Schizosaccharomyces pombe: one gene and its partners. The protein of the gene in region 3 binds, or shares a complex with, the protein of the main gene of each other region. Each region holds a gene or a part of one and is shown on either strand. Other genes may lie near its edges.

Region 1 (6,894 bases), 430 kb from region 3:
TTTGATGAATGTTGAAGCCACATATTACATGTCCATGTTGGAAAGACAAAACAAATTCTGGTAATTTGTCTTAAGTTTTTACAAAGTAATAAAAGTTTCAACAAAAATAAATAGATGCCACAAGGTAACGCTTATCTTTGTTAGTTAAACATTCAAATTAGAGTATATAGCAATTTGAACAGATGTAATTCGTTCCTTTTTTTTTTTAACCATGATTGTTTGTTTTCGACTTTGAACCTGGAGGTTAATAAATATTTATTATTATAAAGACTGACATTAACACGATTCAGTACCTTTATGGTATCTTAAGGTGATCACTTTCTATATATTTTTAAATGAGTTTGTAATGACATGGTGCAACAGAACTACATAAGATATTCATCAATCACATTTTTGACGTTCAGAAACCATTTGTCGATATCTCGGAAGATTAATTCCAACAGCAGATCGTATTAACAAGACATCCACAATACCATCCTGCCGCTTTCTCCCAACAATGTTGAGCCACTCATGCTTTTGAATAGATACATCAGGTAAAACTACTGTAACATCACAAGTCACGCTGCTTGATCCATCAATCAACCGTAGAATGCCATTCTTATATGATTGCACGCATCCTAAAAATCGAAGTTTTTGGCCGTCCTTACAATCGTTAATTTGATTAATGAAGATAAGTTTAGCACTATCCATCAGCTGCTAAATATATTGTAAAAAGGAGAACAAGGAAAGATGAGGGAAGGTGGTATAGTTTGTGTTTGGAAACTGGGTAATCGATTGAAATATGAATTTCGTAAATGAGCGACTTAAGATCGCAGCTTTAATTAAGAAAACGTAGTTTGACTTTTTCAAAAGGAAAAATTTGCATTAATCCTTAAAATGTGCAGAAAGACTACACTCTCGTTTGCAATAGTAAAAGCAAAATCTAATAATCGTATAGTACTATCAGTGAGGCATATTAGATTGATAAATAGACCAACATTTCCATTATTATTATTTATGAATTGGTTTACTTGAGCAACTCCACAAAAAACGCAAGCATGGTTCTTTTGATTAGTTTTTATAAATTAAGTCAGATGGAATATAAAAAGAGAAAAATAAATGCTTTGGCCGGGAATCGAACCCGGGTCGAATCGATGGCAACGATTCATTATACCACTAAACCACCAAAGCTTCTTGAAATATCTTGTAAACTTGTATAATATAAGTAGCTATTAACGATAACGATAATTATTTATTATACCATTATAATATTGATTAAAATCAAGCAGAGAATTGGAAACATGTTCTGATGTAGTTGTTTAAGGCCTTATAAGAAATCAATAGTTCTTGTAATAAATTCCGATTTTAGTTATAGGGCCAATGCGGCTAATATTCACTTGATAAATTGAAGCTGACTGTAAACAAAAGGTTACCCCTTACTTAACCATTTGATATTATAATTTACATTGCAAAAAATTTGGGTCAGTTTGAAAAGGTGTGTACATTTCCTAAAAATCTATGGAAAATTGAAAAAAATAAAATAAATTTAATTTAATATTTAAAATATCATGCTTCCAGTATTCAATATAATCGGTATTTAAATTGAACCATGAACAGATTAGAAATGGTTTAAAAAAAAAACAGCAAAACAAAATTGTATTGAATTTATCCTACAATCAAAATGCCGTTAACAATATTTTTTAGCTTGAATCTTCCGATTTCTCTTAATAAACCGTCAAAGTGCCAAAAACCAGTTTTAATATAACGAATTATATAATATACATTTAAGGTGCCATAAACACACTGCATTATACGTATTGAAACTAAGAGTGTGGATACTGTGCATATAGAGACTGCTAAACTCCAGGAAACCCGCATTTGGAGAGTAATTTCGTGTTTTTACTCGGAAAATTGCAAGCCTTAATACGATTCTTGTAAATTCAAAAGTTAGAACTCTTCCAAGTGATTTTTTGCGTGTTTTTTTGCTGTTTATTTTTTTTTTGCATTGAGCTCTTTTGTCACGTCGTTGCTATAGCTTTTAGGCTTTGAGAATCTTCGTTATAACTAATATTATTTGAAGTGTGGGTTTATCCAAAAGGCCCTTTACAGTTTTTTGTGTTATAACCTTTTCTCAAAAAAATTTAAAGCATCATTTCTAAAGCGACACCAAAATTAAAATAGTTGAAAGAGTAAAAACATGTTGTTTACAATCAAACCTTCATTTTTGAAGCCTGTAGGCTTCATTCAGACTCGGAATTTGAACCGGCTATACCCTAAACAACGTATTCCTAAGCGACCTAAAATTCCTATGGGTTCCAAAATAGCAGAGGTAACTGAAACTACATCTGCTTATTACAATCCACCAGCGTCTTCTCCAGATGTTAGGATTACTCCTCCTGTTTTTCGCTATGATGCACCTCCAATTCATCAGCGTGATACCTCACTTTCCAAAGAGTCAATGTTTCTCCCGCCGGCAGTTAGCCGAAAATCGAAAAGCAAAGGAAAGTTGAGGTTTTCTACTCATCAACTGAGTAGTGAAGATATCAAATCCATCCAAGACTTGAGGACGAAAGATCCGAATGCTTGGACAACTGGAACACTGTCTAAAAAGTTTAACACAACTCGGTTACTAATTTCACGAGTTTGTGAAGCTCCCAAAGAAAGGATTCAAAAAGTTGAAGAAAATTTTGAGGCTGAAAAACTTGCCTGGGGATCAAAGAAGCGTGAAATTCGCCGACAACGTGCATCTCGTCAAGCATTCCGTACATTGGAACGAGTAGCACAGGTTTAAAATAATTTAATAGTTTTTGGGATTCTAAAACTCTGGTTTTCAATAAAGCTCTGATGCACATGCGGAAGCGTTTTTGACTGCATTATTTAATGTTTCAATCACGTTACAAAATACTCGAGTGATTTGAAAGTTCCTTGGAAAATAATATTAGTTTTGAAGCTTTTCAAAAAAAACAGACATCTTCATTCTTCTTTATTTCTTAATTTACAAAGGCTCTCTGGCATTTTACGAATTATCCTTTACATTTCTATCAACATTTACGCACATTGGTCTGCATATCGCGAATTTTTGTCGCAACCTTTAAAATGTTATTATACAGGCACGAACTTGTTTTACATTTTTACCTCTCCCTTCTCATGTACATATTTCCTTTTTGGAACAAATGAGGAAATTTTTCATTTCAGCTTAGTAGGCTCGGAAATCCTCAATCATAGAGTATGTTGCTTTTGTAACACTCAAGCCAGTTTTTTTTTTTTTTTGGTTTTATCTTTTAACTATTACTGAGAATATACAATGGTGTACATAATTAATTGGGTCAGCGAGCAGTAAAAAAACATCTTTATTTCCTCTTGTACAGAGAGCCCTTTCGTTCAAACCTCAAGTGGTGAAAATAAAGATATTTTTTCGGCTTTTAAGCAGTTGCTATTTAAGATTTCCAATCGACATCAACCGTTTATAAACACTCACGAGATACTTACTTTTGCAAGTTTCCTCACCAGCCATCATCCATCCATCTCCTTAGGACAATTTGCATTCTACGGATTTCATTAATACATCCATCTCTAGCTACTATTTACTTATATTAAAGCTTTGTTTCGCCGTTTTCTACTTTTTTGAAGCTTGTGTGACTATACGTGCTCTTCTTTGTTGGCCCAATTTTCCAACGATCGTCTAAAGAAACATGCGACCTAGTTGAGGAATTTTGCTTTAAGACATTGTTTTTACAGACTCTAACAAGCTTAATTTGTATGGTGGACACAGCTTTGTTGTAATACTGCATACTGCGATTCTCAAATCCTACACTCCTCTCTCCTCTTCTCTCCTTGTTACTTAGTACCTCGAGAAGTTTTGGGGTGACATCAGTCAGACACAAGAATTATATGATGGGTGGGTGGGTTAATACGTATATGAATGATCTCATTTACGTTGCCGTATTGTGCTACTAAAAGTGTTATATATAGAGCAGTGGGAAGTAGAAGTGAGCACTCTTATTAACGATAAAGTTGTGAGTTGAACAAAAGCGACTTACTACTTTGAAATATTGTTTTACTTTACAATTGAACATTTACTAGTGTTCAGGAAAAATCTAATTTTTTTTCGTGCGCTCGATTGAATATTATATCAATCCTTTGTGTTGTACGGAGAAAACCGCTTTTATATAACCTTTCGATTTATTAATTTTTTTTTACTCGGTTAATTCACGAAATCCTAATCGAGCATCATGAATAGGCGTGTTACTCTTGGAGCCTTGGCCGCTGCTGTTGGTGTTGGTTATTATATGACTCGCCATAATCGTCAGGCATCTTCCAGATTGGAACAGAAGAATGCAGAAATCGTCAGAGCCGTGGAAAATGAGGGTCAACGATTTGACAAAGCTGTTGGCGAAACCACTGAAAAGGCAAAATCTTATCTCCAAAGTGGGAAGGAGAGGGTTGTCGATGAACTCGACAAACCTCGTGAAAACGTAAAAAATGTGTTGTCAGAGGCGCAAGCCAAGGGTACTGAACAAGCAGAAGCCCTTAAAAAGGGTACCTCAAAATGGTTTTAAATTGGAAATCCCCAATTCTCGCCATTTAGGGTTATGTGGCAATACTTTGAAAAAATACACACAGGGTTTGTTGTGTATTTGAAAACGTAAAGTGCCTAGCATTGGCTCGTTCTATACCTGCTATCCATTAAGTGTTCTTGTTAATTGTTCCAAACGTATTGCCAAACATTCCGGATCACATCTCGGCAAAGTCGGAGAGATTAAACGTTGTTAACGTTATTCTTTTTTATGTTATTATTAGTTTCTTCTCTCATAAACCAACTGAACCCAAATGATTAGCGATGACAAACAAACGACGATTCCATGGGTTGTCAAAAACACCCTCATAGAAGTTTGCTTTTTTTTGTACAGATAAAAGCGAATTTTTAATTGAAATAATGTTTTTCATGAACGCATAAATGAATGATTGAAATTTTTACATGCATGATTTTCCATTATAGACTGTAAAATGATATTTAAAGTAAGCGATGTGGACTAAGAGTAGTGATAATGCATATGAATACATGCATAGTTTGGATATTATAGGTTTTTCCTAGTTTCCATTATTAAAAAAATAAAAGATTGAAAGGAGTGTTTTGCTTTAATCTGCTCTAGTAGACAGAGTCAAAATTGATATATTTAATAATATTCAAGATGAAGAGATAGAACTCATCAAGTTCGCTTAGATATAACCTTAGCTTACGCGAAAGATGAGAATACTGTAATGCATAGTTTTTTGTTAATTTGAGACAACGAGAGGTATGGAAAATGCCCCTCAGGTGAATTCTCTAAATAAGCTAAAAAGTCAAACGCAAAAAAATGCATTATGCCGGTTTATAGAAGATAAACTTTTTTTTGCTGACAAATATTACGATGGAATTGTCGTTTTGACATTTCTTAGCCGTCGTACCTAATGCTTCTGACTGCTAATCAAGCTCTAAAAAAGCGCAGTTCGTTATACTTCTCTATCCCGTTTTCACCTTCATGACAAGTCCTGCGTATGTATGCATTCTACCATCTTCCATTATTCGCACTTGGGCGTACTCAGCTAAGCTGGTTTTGGCGTATTCATAAACGTGTCTATCCTTCAACAGGAAAATAGGTACCTGAAGAAAATAAGATGGGTCTCAAATTACTTCATCCTCCTAAACGTATGTAACGGTTTAGCTAGACATATAAACAAACTTGAGGATTCTTAGTTGGATGCTCGAGCATCGTATAGGTAGATTAAAACCGCAAAATAACTAACTTTATACAGCTTATGCGATGACCAGTGACCCTGAGTCGTATGCTTCGGTATGTGTCATGAAAAAATGGCCTATTATAGCTACGAATGTGATTGACGAGGTTTCTCGAAACATATCAAAGGCATTGGAGGCGGGAATGTCCGATAAAGCTGCTTATGTTACTCAAGGAAAGGAAATAATCAGCCTTCTTAATCAACTCAAATATGATCTTCAACACAATCGCCCTCTGAAGCCGCTTGTCGGTCAAGGGCCTGATATTGATGACTATAATGAGGAGTTGGAACAAGTTGGTCCATTGACTTGGGGCGATGCTCCCTGGCTTTATGCTGGATGCTATTTTTATCGTATCATGAGTCTTTTCTTTCAAGCCCGTTCTGAGTGGAATCGCCATGACCCCTTCTTTGAACAAAAGGACTTCACATTACGTTCTAGCAAGTCGGCCATTGAAGAATTTGCCAAAAGATATGTACACCTGAACAGTGAACTTGCTTCTATTCAAGAAAACAAGGATGACAAGGCTGCATACATGATTTTTGTAGAAATGGCGGAAATTTCACTTTGGGGCAACGCCATTGATCTGGGACTCTTAGTAAATGCTACCTACGAACAATTACAAAGCCTTCAGGGGCAAAAAGCTGTTGAGGAATCCCAGAAAAACATTTTAGTGAATGATTTCCCCAAAATTTGGTCGAAACTTTCAAAAGTTCGTCATGGTCGCATCGATTTTGTTCTTGATAATGCGGGATTTGAACTTTTCGTTGATCTTTTATTCGCTACTTATCTTTTGAAAACAGAAATAGCGGAAACAATTATTTTACATCCGAAGGATGTACCCTGGTTTGTTTCCGATGTCTTAGTCAACGACATCCCCCATTTATTTAACAGCTTAACTTCTTATTTTTCAGGCGAAGGTGTCCAAAAATTAGCCTCTGATCTTGCGGAGTTTCATGCGGAAGGAAAAATTGTAATTCGACCCAATCCTTTTTGGACTACTGCTCATTATTTTGGACGGCTACCTGATGTTGCTCCTAAACTTTTATCTGACTTAGAACAATCAGATATGGTCATCTTTAAAGGAGATTTGAATTTTCGCAAGCTCACCGGCGATTGTGAGTGGCCTCATACAACAC
Region 2 (5,814 bases), on a different chromosome or scaffold from region 3:
ACGAGTGAGAACCTGCCTCACTTCTTTAGTATCTTCAAGACGCAAATAGATTATGACTTTATGTAAAATTTCATTATTTAATGAAGAGCCGGAATTAGTAAACTTTGAGATTGCATTACGCAAACGCAAAAAATCAACTGGGCGATTCCCGATAATCGGTGGGTGATAAAAATATAAACCGCGACTTTCATGAAATGCTTTAAGTTTCTTAAAATAATCATAATTTTTTTCATAATTGAGACAACCTTTATTTAAACATTGGCGTTTTGACTGAAACTCAAAAGCGCCTTGATCAAGAACAACAGGTATTTGCCATCCCTCAGGTGGCAGAAGCTTAATTGCTCCATTTTTGAAAATTGTATGCCAATTATCTAACAAAAATTTAAAGGGATCAGTCATGTTCGAAGCATTCAACTGCACTGACAGTCCAGTTGAAAGTCCAAATGGCCTATTTGACGCGCGATAATTTTTGTCATTATGGTCACAATCAAATTTCAGATATGGTAATGAAAAGTTATCTCCTAGCTTTCTTATTTTCTTCTCTCTTCCTGATCCCATAGAATTATGTTCGTGCCACAAAAGCTGGCATATCATGGAAAACGGAAAAGTGCATAATCAATATACATGGAGAAATATTTAGAAATGCAACACCACCCTGTTTTAAAAATATATACCAAAAAATTTTACAACTTTTAAAAAATATTCTAATAAATTACATAAAATAAAAAACGCGTACATTGATGTATTTATCGTCGATAACACACCGTTATGGGATCGACACGACAGTATTAGGTGGAAGTAGTAGCTTAAAGCTTCAGATCGACATTAACGTAGGTACAGCTAAGCAAAACGTACTTTAATTAGTACTCCCTGTCGTGCTATGGCTGGAAGATCCACGAGAAAAAGATTTTATGCCAATTTTAAAAGTTTTTAACCTAAGGAAGTTTCCGAGTATAATCAAATCCAGTTAAAGCTTGACAATATCCTGATACATTATCCTGCGAACTAAGGCAGCACATATACTGTATAACTTGAAGCATATCGCTGTCAAGGTAGAATTTATGGTTTCTTCACAAGAAAATGAAATTTGCTGGTTCCTGCCACCAACTAGTAACACGAAGCACATCCGTTTTTATTCATAAATTTTTGCTTTGAGGAACAAAACAGTTGAAATTGCATTAAGACATCAATTAGTAGCACAGAAAAATCTATTATATGTGATTCCAGCTGCATACTTTAAAAGTTCAAGTAAAATTGAATATCATTGAGTAATAAAGACAATACAATAAAGGCTAAAACTTTGAAAAAGTTATATTTCTTTCATGCAGTCATTAATGCTGTTTGAATTGAAGAGCCAAGTGAATTTTCCATGATTAAAAAGAAGGATAGAAATTGTCGACGTAAATTTAGTGTCTTTTACTTTTTTTTTCATTAGCGATCATGCTTCCAATATAAACAAAGTAAATTGTAGGTAATGGTACTCTTTTAGCGAGATATTAGGAGTAAGGAATTTCAAACAGAAAATGTAAGGCTACACTATTGTAAAATAAGAATATTTTATACGATTACCACGACTCGTAAATTGGGATAAAGGAAATGTAAGGTAGAAACTTTCGAAGATTGGTTACAACGAATCCATCCTTTTAGTATAAACCAATATTTCGACGAAGATATAATTTTTTTAATATTTAGTATCCTTCTACATTACTAATTATTTGCCAAATCAGTTTAACACATTTTTCTTTTACAATACGTACTTCATTTGATGCAAAGTTCACCGTGCAATGATCAATCAAGGGCTTTTTATTCGTGTTAACAATTTTCAATTACTTAAAGCTAGTTTAGCTTATAAGAAAGCATCAAATATTCTCACTTTCCCTCCTATTCGTACTTCTACTAAACATGGCGGTGGTTCATCGAAAAACACAGGTGATTCTGCTGGTCGTCGTCTCGGCATAAAAAGGTCTGAAAACCAATTCGTTAGGGCTGGTGAGATCCTAATTCGACAACGTGGTACAAAATTTCATCCCGGAGATAATACCGGTCTAGGTAAAGATCACACAATATATTCTCTTGTTTCCGGATATGTTAAGTTTTTTCAAATGGATGTGTCTCTTCGCAAACGGAGGAAATACGTCGGTGTTGTTTTTGACAAAGAGACAACGTTACCAAGGCCCAAAGATGAACCTACAATTCGCCGTGTCAATAAGTATATAACTTCTGCTAATTCTGCTCAAGTTTCATGAAACCATGCGGAAACTCTCATCATCATACCTGCAATGCTCACTATTTAGAGATACTTCAAAAGGATATACTAATAATTACATGCATCAATGCCTTTGGATTTCCTTCAACTTAAGGTTGCACGAAATAACATTTTCTTCTTTTTATTATTTATTTAAACTCCCGTCACGGTCATCGTAGTTTATTACTGTCTAATGCTCAAAAATGTGAATGCATGATTAAATTTATAACTTATTTTGTTACTTTGTCTTGGGCGTATACAAGTTTGCGTATATGTCTTTCTTTTTCTACTGATTTATGCTTCTATTTTTTTCCACGCGAATAATTTGATAATTAAGCATTGTATATGTTGTTCTTAAACTTTCAAGTTTTTTCAACAAATATTTATAATTCGTTTCCAAAAAGTTAGCGTGTAAAAATCGCATTTGCCACGGTTTAAAAATCATTAAAAAAAACTGAACTTGTACCATATTATCTTTTCTGACATAGAATTCAGAAAGTTTTGACCAAACATACAGAAGGTTATTCTTTTTTTACATTTCATTTAAAAATTATTTTGGGCATTTTGAAGTTAGACTTTTAAGTATATCACCTACTATATAGTACCACACCTACTACAACGCAGTGCGTTATATTCCTTTATGTGCAAAAATTGTTGCAGTGTGCTGAGAGGTTTTATTGTTCGGAGTGCTAGCCATTACAAACTTCTAGTTTTGAATCCATTCACGCCTAAATTTTAACAATCGATTGCTAGTCAATTTGCTTACGCATGCTTAAATATAAAAACTAACGAGATAGCTTTTTTATACACTTTTTTCTTCACTTTTCTGTAGGCTAGCGGTATTGCTCTCAAACCCTTACTTTGCATACTCCTTTTCTTTGAAGTTCGTCTATTTAGTAGATAACCATATAATGCCAACCTGAATGAGCTTGAATGAAATTGCTCACGATCAACCTGTCGAAAATGGTCCTTTGTATTCTGAGAAGCAGGACCATACGGCAGTTGATTACGCGCTTCACATACTTTTCACCCAGTTTGTTCGACTCTCTGAACAAAAAATATCATTTCTTTCTCGTTATCATGCCAACGAAGGTAAGAATGCTGAACCTGTACGATTCAACGTTGGAGAGCAAGAAGCTATCCTCCTTCTTAAAAAGGGGGAAGATAATGAATTTGACAGATGTATTCAAGCTCTTGTAGCTTTAGCTAGTAGCAAACCGGTTGCCGTCATTGAATCCCTATTGTGTTGGAGAAAAGTTCGTGTTGATATTACAAGTTCAAGTGGTACTCCTCGGGTTGTTAATGAGCGGAGGAGTTCTATTTCTATCTATATACTTTGCCGTGTCTTGACTGAGATTGCTGAAACGATACCGTCAAATGCCTTAGAAGAAAGCACTGTATCTTGTTTATTAGAATGCGTTTTTCATCAGCTACTAAGCGCTAAAAATTTACCAGTTTCGTCATCCTATTTCAGTCTTGCTAATTGGGAAAGTTTTGCATTCCTTGTGGGAAGTATGTCTCGATTTAACTTCGTCATGGTATCAGATCGTTTTATTGAAGAGATTGAGCATTTGGAAAAGTCTGGCTGTGATTCCAGGCAAAAAGAAACGGTTCTTGTCCATCTCCTTAGAGCAATGCGTTATTTGCGTTTGCAGCTTTATCCAACAACTCTTTTAGAAGAGTCAATTGCTTTTTTGCAATCATTGACTTCCTTTTTCATGAAAGCCAACACAGCCTTGAAAATCGAATATGCATATCTTATGGAACAGTTGCTTCGACCATTAATCAGTCGAGCTACATTTGAGGTGAATATTCCTGCGTGGTCGCGCACCATTGAAACAATATATCCTGTAGTACTGAAAATGTGTACGAAAACTAAATACTGGAATGTTTTTTTCCCTTTTTGTTGTACACTTCTATGTCTTTCTCCCAAACAGTTCTTCCTTAAGCATTGGATATCCTCCCTTGATGCTGCTTTTTTTCGTGTTAAAGACAGACGATTAAGGAACACCGGTCTACCCCATCTTTCTCGTGTTGTATGGACTTACTCTAATCAGTATAAGGAAGAACCTTCCATAATGAATTCTAATATTTCTAATATTTTGAAATCGGGATTTTCGATTGGCAAAAAGTTTAGCGTGGTTCCATTCGCCACTTTAGAAGAATTGGATGGTTATGCACAAATTGTGCGTGTAGTCGGTGCTCATTTTCCAGAGCTTGTCATCAAAGAGATTTTAACACCTTTGTCTACTGATGCTTTTACCGAGAATATTGGCCCTGAGAAATTAATGATTGTTGTTCGGTCTGTTTATTACATTCTGCACGACATGAAGTACAAAAAATCGGATAGTACTATATTCGAATATATTGAATTTGAGTTCGTTGATTTACATGAAGTTGCCGTCGGAACTCCATTACAACAATTTGTTCATAATCTTTCGCAAAAGCTTCTATTCCTCGTTTTTCAGCTCTCCACTAATACCAACTGTTACCTTGATTCAAAAAATGCAACCAGTTTGCTTGCTTTGTACATTAATGCACTCAAAGTGTTTCCTTGTCTCATGGGAAAATTAGAACAACGTGTAATTGATGCATATGTTAAGTGTTTGAATTGTTCAAACAAAATAATCCATACTGTTTGTCATAACTCTTTGATATACTTTTCTTCTGGGCTTAAAATGTCGAAGTCAGTGATATCTTGTCTTTCTCGGAAATTGGTTAAGGGTTCAGAGTACTTGTTACGAACTTACCATGAAGTTATTAGAATTTGGATCAGTCAGCAAGAAGCAGTTATTGAAAAAAGGAATTCTGTCCTTAGTAATAAATCGTGTGCAAGTTCTGAAAGCAATACTCCTGCCTCTGTAAAACAAGATTATGATGACATTCAAAGTTGGACGATAATTGAAGAAATTCAATCACTTGGTGTACTTCATTTATCTTCACCATCAGTTGGAATCCGTAAGTTTGCAGTGGCTTTGCTTAATGATGTTAAGCAATTAAATACGGAGTATTTGATGCTTTCTTCAGATAAAGTTGAAGTTGGTGACATATATTCTGAACCGACAATTGTCGATGTTCTGAAAGATTGCGATTCTTCAATTTTGAGTGTCGAAAGTCACTTACCGACTGCTGCTGAAAGGTCACGATTGCGCAAGTTTATCAACGATGGAACCAAGGATATGCTTTTGAAACTAGCTACGTCAAACAGCGGCGTTGACATTTCAATATGGTACAATGTATTTCCTCGCTTTATAAAGGTTTGTTTTGAAAGATTTCCTACCACTATGGCATTGCTTAGAAATACTGTTTGTGAGAAACTTCCGAGTATTACTATGCAATTATTATCGCGTATTGAATCTTCGGAATTAAACTTTAACTTGAAGTCTGCTGTAAAAAATGATAATTTTCCTGAGTTTTTATTAGTTCAGTGGAAGCTGTACCTTATTGTTGCATGTTGTACAATTACATACACTTCTAACGTGGATTATTCGCACACTGACCTTAGGAGGACACTTACTGCTGTTCAATCTGGAAACCATTTACGTGGTTTACAGGAAACCATAAAGATA
Region 3 (7,752 bases):
TCAGCAGGCGAATACGGAGAAGAAAATGAATCGTTCCTCGCAAGAGGCTCCTCTTCTACAATGTCAAGTATAGTAGGATCATCTATTTCCACGATGGAAGGGACATTGACTATCGGTTTTGTGTCGTTAAAACTCCCTTTTCTTTTTGCAGCTTTATCACCATTAGATGTATCGTCTTCAGAAAGAGGATTATGTTCCGGTAAAGTAGGACTTTTGGAATCAATTGTGGGCTCTTCTTCTGCAATTGAAATTGGAGCTACAAGCTCTCCAGGAGGTTTGGGAAACATCGCATCATCGTTTTCCGCAATACCAAGTTCATCTTGTTGTGTAAGTTTATCTTCATCAAGTAAACGATCTCGTGGAGCAATCAAATGTTGCTTTATGACTGTGTTTTCAGTACTTTGTTGACGAATTTCCTCAGCTAGGTTCTTCAAGTCAGGATTAGCCATTTCTTCACTGGATAAGTTGACCAGATCGTTAAAACTAATTTCATTTTTTAACACGCGCGCTCGAAATGCCGGGTTTTTGTCATCAACCAAGTTGAATCGTAAAGCACGAAACTTCTCTCGATATTTGTTGTTCGGAGTTAACGAATGATCAGTTGTATACGAAAGCACCATAAACATAATATGCTCAAGCTGAAGCGCTAAGGATGTAGAATTAAGGTCTTCTAATCCTTGCACACCTTCAAGTTTTGCTTTCTCAATGATTTTTTCAAAAACGGAAACCCAGGCTTTGGCAACACTTTTTCTAACAGGGTTTTGAATTTCATCGATAGAAGTGTGTAAACTAAGCTCCTTTTCCTGATCTGCAGTTTCATTGGAAGCATCCTTAGGAGATGTTTTTGGTGCATTCTTGCTACGTTTGGTATGAGTAGCCGTCGTACCAACACTGCCTCTTCGTTTTCGAGTTGAAGGTGGAGAATGAGAACTTTTTGGTGTCGTGGAGCCAATAGGAGTCCTAGGAGATTGTCGACCAGACCTAGTAGTCATTCCAACATTAGAATTTGTCGAAGCAGGCTCGGATGATTCTAGTTCAGCGCCTGACTCTTTAGTAATCGCCTCTTTTGAATCAGAAGATACAACATTATTTTCTTCATTGTTTTTCTCGTTCCCTTCATTAGAGGCAAGTAAATCAGCTGTCTGATGCTCTTCATCCTTATTGGGAGAATTTTGTACTTGTGATGAAACGTCGCTTCGCGAATGACAAACTTCACAATAGTAGCTTTCAGGTATATCCTTATCCGCTAATCCAACGCAACTGGCATGTTGCCAGCAATCACACCCATCACATTGAACCCACGTATCGCCAATGTCTTCTTGCGATTTACAAACACACCGAACAACAGTTTCAGGAGGTTTTTCTGAGGCTTTTGCCGTCCTTCTAGTGCTTTTTCTTACCATGCTTCGTTATTATGGGAATAAAAAGTATTTTGATCAATGACATCTGTACTTCAAGGTTAATACATGCAATTCGAATAACAAGTGATTGAATGCGTACTAAATAAACTGAGGAGATTAAAATATATGCATAACTAAACAAAAGTCGTTCCTGAAGTGTTTAATATCCTCACAAAAGCTCGTCAAGAGTTCTAAAAAACAAGGTGTTGGCAGGTATGGGTTATTGGCAAGTGGCAGCAGTGTTGTAGTTTGTTATAGCAAAGGTGCAAAATCTGCGAAAACTAAGGATACATGCTATTTTATAGTTCGAATGCAATATTTTACGATTAAATGTGAATATTGTTAGAAAAGGAGCTTCAAAAATATGAGTAGTGCACGAGAGTTACTGAGGAAAGTAAAACAAGAGCGATTAGGGCAAAAGCGAGGTCTGAAAGCCTCTAGTCAAGAACTGAAGCGTCAGAAGACGAGAGATCATAAATCATTTGAAAATTTAGGTCGTGATCAATCTCGTGAGCTGGCAGTAAGTGATTTTAATGAAAAGCAATCTACAGAACCTCCTAAGGATACACGAGCGGTGTCCGCACTTCCAGAAAACTTTTTTGATGAATCTATTGCTAAAAATAAAGAACTAATTGAAGAAGAGTGGAACGATTTTCAAAATGAGATTGGCATTATTGAGGAAAATGCTGTTGAACAAGAAATAACACTCCAACAGCAACAGTTATTGGCCGAAAAGGATGAAGAAAATGAAATTGCAGATAATGATTTAGAACCAGAAGTTTATGATATTCTTTATGAAGAAGAAAGCAAATTGGGTGAGTCGAGGGATCTTATCCGTCGTTTGAAACAAAAAAGGTTTGAAACTAAAAAAAATAACTTTTCTGTTAAAGAATCTAGCAATTTATCTAATAATGACTCGGATGCTTCACTAGATGAAGACACCTTGCTTTGGGGTTTGTAAAGCTCTGTTTACGATCTTAAAAACAAACAAAAATATTGACACCAACTAAAAGAATACTGTTTATATTACATATTCTTTCCTTAACCAAAAGAAAAATATTAATTAATTAAGAATAATTGCAAATAAGAAGCATTGCTTTAAACACTTTTGCATATTTAATATATATTAATATTTCGGAAGGAATGTGGAAATTTTGTTGTGTAACAGAGAAATTAACTTTGTTCCTATTCATATACGGAATCTGCATTTACATATGCATTGCAGTCCCAATTAGAAGTGATCTTAGTACTGTCTTTGAGCCAGAAGCAAAAGGCTCTCGAATTACTTCAAACTATCGAAGAAGTTTATTTAACATGCTTGGATATGATAATTCGGTTCATCCTAATAACTGTAAGGGCTCATTTCTTTGCCCTATGCTTCGAGGAGAAAATCGTGCGTGTCCGAACGCGTACATGAAGTATAATAGATCCTTGATCTACCATGGATATTCTTCTTATACAGCTAGTTCTTGCACTGCCATTTATGAGTGCGAAGGTGATTATCCAGCACGCACAGGCAACGAAATCATTGATGAATTTGATCAATTAAATTTGCAATGTTCCGCTTGTGGAACTCGTTTTTTTAATAATGATAATGAAAACACAAGATGCTATGTCAAATTGAACTACTGTTATCCAGACTGTACCGAAATTACACCAAGCACCAGCGAATACGATTATCGAGAGCCGGTTAGAGATTGGTAATAATAAGAGGAAAGGATCCATTCTGAATTAAGCATAAATATCATAAATACGAATTTCCAAAAAGGACGACGATTACTGGTGACTTTTATTCTTTTAATCTTTTGTGCGATTAAGTTATCTAAACAGTGATTGTCTTTTCTTATATTTTTAGGGATTGAAGGTATGCAACACAATCTTCGACACTTCCTTCAGGGTGTTTAAATTGCCAGGAAATCATGTTATCCATAGTCTCTTTCAGCTGCGGGCCAGGCTTAACTCCCACATTTTTCATGATCTGTTTTCCCTAAAAAATTGTTAGCTTATTCGCTCAATATTGTTAACAGAAATAAAAGAATTACATACGTCTAATAATGGCTTCATGTTATAAGCATTTTGTAAATTTTTGTCATAAATAAAGTCATATAGAGATTTATAAGAACTAAATGTATTTGATACAGATGCTGCCGGTGTTTTACAACAACTATATATGACCGATGTTAAAAACACGACTTCCCAGGATTTATTCAATTGTCGTATTAAGCTGCCAATAGATGAGCAATTTTTAGTGGAAGTATCGTTAACTAATTCATCGAATATCGGATTGAATGTGCAGCACTGATTCAACTGGTTAACATATGTACTTCTGAGCTTCAACTTGTCTTTTGCGATGATTGCAGGAATATAAAATTGTTTTTTCTTAACCATAACAGTTTGACTAGACCATGGAATTAGAGCAACATATAGCCATAGCCCAATTTTCTCATCTTCACTTAATTTCATAAGTTTAGGAAACGTCAATGCAAGACTCTGAAATAAAGACTCGGTAGCTTCCAATGCCTTTGGAATTTGAAATTCTTTTTCAGCTGGCAAAGTATCGAACGTAAACTGATACGTGTTCGTTGAATATAACAGTTGAAGTGCTAGCTTCGCGTTTGCACCCTTCAACATTTTCTCAATTTCCTCTCCTACACGTTCCTTGCTAACCTTTTTTTCAAAAGCTTTACATACTTTCGGATCTTGGATAGCGGAAACGACCGACGGATCAATTGTAAATTCAAATCTGGATGCAAACCGAATGCCTCTCAAAATTCGTAAGGGATCTTCCAAAAATGATTGGAGAGGTGAAATGGGCGTGACCAACACTTTGGTTTGCAAATCTTTATATCCTCGCTTTGTAATGTCCTCTATTTTTTCTGTTCGTATGTTAAAGAATAGGGTGTTAACCGTGAAGTCTCTTCTCAATGCATCTGTTTCAACAGTTCCTGGGGTAACGCTAGGAATTCGACTTTTATCATCATATGATTCTGCACGAAGTCCTACAAAATCAATATCAAGGTCAAATAGGGATAAGGTAGCAGTTTCTAAATGCTTGCTTTGATCGGGATTGACAGTTAGCTTGCCAAGTGCGTCTTTATATGGAATAACTGAGTCAGAGTCGAGAGAGTGAACATACTCAAATATTGAATTTGCAAAGTCAACACCGGTAACTTTATTCAACGTAACGTCTAAATCGTCACTAGAAAGCCCAAGAAGTTTATCGCGAACCCATCCTCCTGCCAATCTAACTTCCAATGACGAACTGCTGCTGGATTTAGATTCAATAAAATCAGCAGTCTTTTTCAAAAGATTAACAACTTTTTTCTCAACATCGTTCAATACAATTCTAGAATACATTTTCGTCAGCCAAATTCCATAAACGATACACAGTTTGGGCAATACCGGTTTCTCTAAGGTTGGCAGGTTGAGGTTTGAATATGCTTCTCTTAAAGAAGGACATGTAGTAGTAATTTTTTTTATGCTACAAATGTATATCACTGATATAAGGTTATTTAATATATTTTTATTTTAAAATGATTTTTGGATTCTGGGAAATGGTAAAGTAGCGAATGTCATATGCCTCAAAAAAAGTAAACAAAAAGAATGGATCAAATGCTCATAAGGATAGAGAGGAGATGGAAAATTAAGAGTTTCAAACATTCTAAAAGGTAATTATTTTTTAGTAAGAAAGTTAGCCGCTCGAATGGCACTTTTACGAGCATGACTTCGGGCAGTCTTAGAATTGGGAGCTGGCTCATCCAGAAGAGACCATAACCATTCTGGATATTCATGATCTTCACGAGCTACAGGGTCGACGCCACCCGCCTTTATACACAGTCCCTTTAATATAGTACCTGGAAGGACAGAACTAGTGTGCGTTTTATTAGCGACTTTTTGAGCTGAAGAAGTGGCATCCGAATTATGCTGTGGCTTTTTGGGTGAAACACGAGAGGATACATAACTTCGTTTAACTAATGATGAAGAAGAGTTACGGGAACTTCTTAAAACCAATGTGTTAGAGTAGCATGAGAATTGAGAGATACCGCGAGTAATTGCGCGCGATAAAGGGGCCATTGACTCGATAAATGGCATTGCTTAGACAGTAAACAAAAAACTTTGCAAGGAGGATAAAATCTTTAACCAAAAGTGGATCAAAGGCGATGAAAAAGGTCAATAGTAACGCCTTCGCATATATAAGGAGCAAATACGTCCTGCTCTTTGAGTGAAAAGTTTTAGAGAATAATATTATTTCAAGTACTATAGGAAATAAAAAATGACTCTATAAAGAGCCGCTTTCAAAGTTCAAGGAGTTTGGTTATGGGACAACCTGGACGTTACTATACAACTCATGTACAGATGGGTAGCAGACACAGGTACATGTAAGGGTTTCAAGCGTCTGTTTACAATTTGGGAATCAAAATAAAATTTTTGTTTTTGTTTTTTTCATAATTATAAACTATTGCTAAGTTCAAATGGGGTGTCGTTCTAACAAGAATGTCATTAAGTTTACAATAATAATACCAAGCACGCTTGAGTACTATAGGAATACTTATGAAATAAAGTAAAGCACAATCTATCAAGTGAGACTCTAGAAATGTTAATCGAAAATTGTATTTGTCTGTGTTCGACTATGTAAGAAAGTCAAAGAAATAAAATAATATGATTTATTTTTACAATAAATCATTAGCACATTAGAATATTTCTACTTCATTCATTTTTCTCAACTTGCAATGTTTCTTCGACAATCACTTGATTGTTGTAAATGGTAAAGAACCATTAGGTGTTATTTGGGATATTGAGGAACAATCTAGTAGTACGGTTTAAATAAAGAGAACATATATAGATTTTAGAATTAGTATTCAATTATGTTTAACGTTATGTCCTTCATTCGATACGTCAGAATTACCATTTTTTTTACTTGCGAAATGTACTTATTCCACACAGTTAGCGACTGATCCATTGAGGATCGAGAAGCGCTTGCAATCACTTTTTGTTAAAGAAAAATAGATTTACAATAAATTTGACAAATTGTACTAGTCGGTGTCTTAAGTCACTCGGGACAATTGAAAAAAATAAATCACTGACTTGCGAACTCTTCTTAGTTAATAGTTACACCTTTATGGGTGTTTTCTTAAAATTTCGCCAAGTTTTACTTTAGATAGAACATAAATCATTTAAAGTATTATCCATCTCATGAAAACAATAAAAAATCTGCAAGAAGATCAATAAACAAGCTTTAACCATCAGGTTATTCTCTTACTAGAATTTCATTATTTGCCTCGATAAATTCCTATAACATATTTCTCTAAGGCTCTTCGATATTCATTTTACAAATAAAAAAAATCATGCCGACAACGGCAGGATTCGAACCTGCGCTCCCAAAGGGAATCCGCTGGGCTACAGAATAGCAGGCGAACGCCTTAAAACCACTCGGCCACGTTGTCCTCCGTTGAGACGATTAGTATTAAGTAGATTATGTATTTAAATTTAATAAATTTATAAGAGATTATTTAGTGTACCGAAATAGTTTTAAATTCATTTATTTAGTATATTTTTGCTTATAACATTTCCGGTTCATTTTGGAAACGATTTAAATAAAGAAATTTTACAATTTTGTAAAAATGTATGCTTTCAATGTACAATTACGATTTTCCCTATTTTGCTTTTCTTACACTGAAGGAAATGCTTGTGATTTCCTCGATCAATATTTGATATCCTATTTTTTTCCCTCATTTATTTTCTGGGGGTTTTTTTTTCTTTCATCCTGTAGAGAAATTGTATATACTTTCTGTTTATTTCTATATTACTATAAGATGGGGATTTAGTTTTAAATAGTAATGAACCAAATTAAATTACATTGAACTTATCAATAGTATTATGCTTTGTGCTTCTGCGATTTATTTTTTTTATTTTTTAAAATTATTTTAATTTATTTTTGATGATTCGGGATTGCTTGTTAAAATATTCTCTTGTCAGCTTTCTACATAGTGCCATTTAAATATAGGTAAAAGATATTGCAATTGAAATCAACATATCTCCTAGCACAATATTAACCATTTGCGAATCCATTTAATAAATAATGCCTATTCCTACCATATGCATTAAAAAAAAAAAAAAAAAAAAAAAAAAAACACTTTGAATATTTATTTAAGCAAAAAGTATAATGTTTAATAAATGGTTCCATGAGATTTGATAAACTGTTCATTTGATGGTGTTTGACCTTTATATACTGCTTTAAATACACGTTGGAATTATCACAAAGAACAAGAACTTGTTCAGAGCTAGGATTCGAAAATAGAAATAAGTATATTTACACTGAATAAGTTTACTAAATATATGTTTTTTAAAATTT

The links. The genes of interacting proteins can lie anywhere in the genome.
Region 1: mrpl37 (region 3) and mrpl20 share a complex: the UniProt entries of both Schizosaccharomyces pombe proteins name them as parts of the mitochondrial large ribosomal subunit.
Region 2: mrpl37 (region 3) and mrp7 share a complex: the UniProt entries of both Schizosaccharomyces pombe proteins name them as parts of the mitochondrial large ribosomal subunit.

What each region holds. Positions count from the first base shown.
Region 1 is NC_003421.2:819,468-826,361, forward strand, and holds mrpl20 (mitochondrial 54S ribosomal protein mL58), read left to right. Parts: upstream 1-1,827; 5' UTR 1,828-2,176; coding exon 2,177-2,770; 3' UTR 2,771-4,010; downstream 4,011-6,894. Other genes in the region: telomere cap complex subunit Ten1, read right to left, coding at 382-690; SPOM_SPCC1393.12 (uncharacterized protein), read left to right, coding at 4,212-4,538; duf89 (cobalt/nickel-dependent phosphatase), read left to right, coding at 5,638-5,668, 5,776-6,894. UniProt on the Schizosaccharomyces pombe protein: Component of the mitochondrial ribosome (mitoribosome), a dedicated translation machinery responsible for the synthesis of mitochondrial genome-encoded proteins, including at least some of the essential transmembrane subunits of the mitochondrial respiratory chain.
Region 2 is NC_003423.3:2,858,595-2,864,408, reverse strand, and holds mrp7 (mitochondrial 54S ribosomal protein bL27m), read left to right. Parts: upstream 1-1,648; 5' UTR 1,649-1,784; coding exon 1,785-2,246; 3' UTR 2,247-2,930; downstream 2,931-5,814. Other genes in the region: Lid2 complex histone demethylase subunit Lid2, read right to left, coding at 1-594; morphogenesis protein Mor2, read left to right, coding at 3,169-5,814. UniProt on the Schizosaccharomyces pombe protein: Component of the mitochondrial ribosome (mitoribosome), a dedicated translation machinery responsible for the synthesis of mitochondrial genome-encoded proteins, including at least some of the essential transmembrane subunits of the mitochondrial respiratory chain.
Region 3 is NC_003421.2:1,252,285-1,260,036, reverse strand, and holds mrpl37 (mitochondrial 54S ribosomal protein mL54), read right to left. Parts: upstream 5,720-7,752; 5' UTR 5,493-5,719; coding exon 5,073-5,492; 3' UTR 4,811-5,072; downstream 1-4,810. Other genes in the region: bye1 (transcription elongation regulator), read right to left, coding at 1-1,403; SPOM_SPCC645.12C (uncharacterized protein), read left to right, coding at 1,765-2,361; protein mug117, read left to right, coding at 2,544-3,104; cca2 (ATP/CTP tRNA nucleotidyltransferase), read right to left, coding at 3,244-3,387, 3,447-4,757. UniProt on the Schizosaccharomyces pombe protein: Component of the mitochondrial ribosome (mitoribosome), a dedicated translation machinery responsible for the synthesis of mitochondrial genome-encoded proteins, including at least some of the essential transmembrane subunits of the mitochondrial respiratory chain.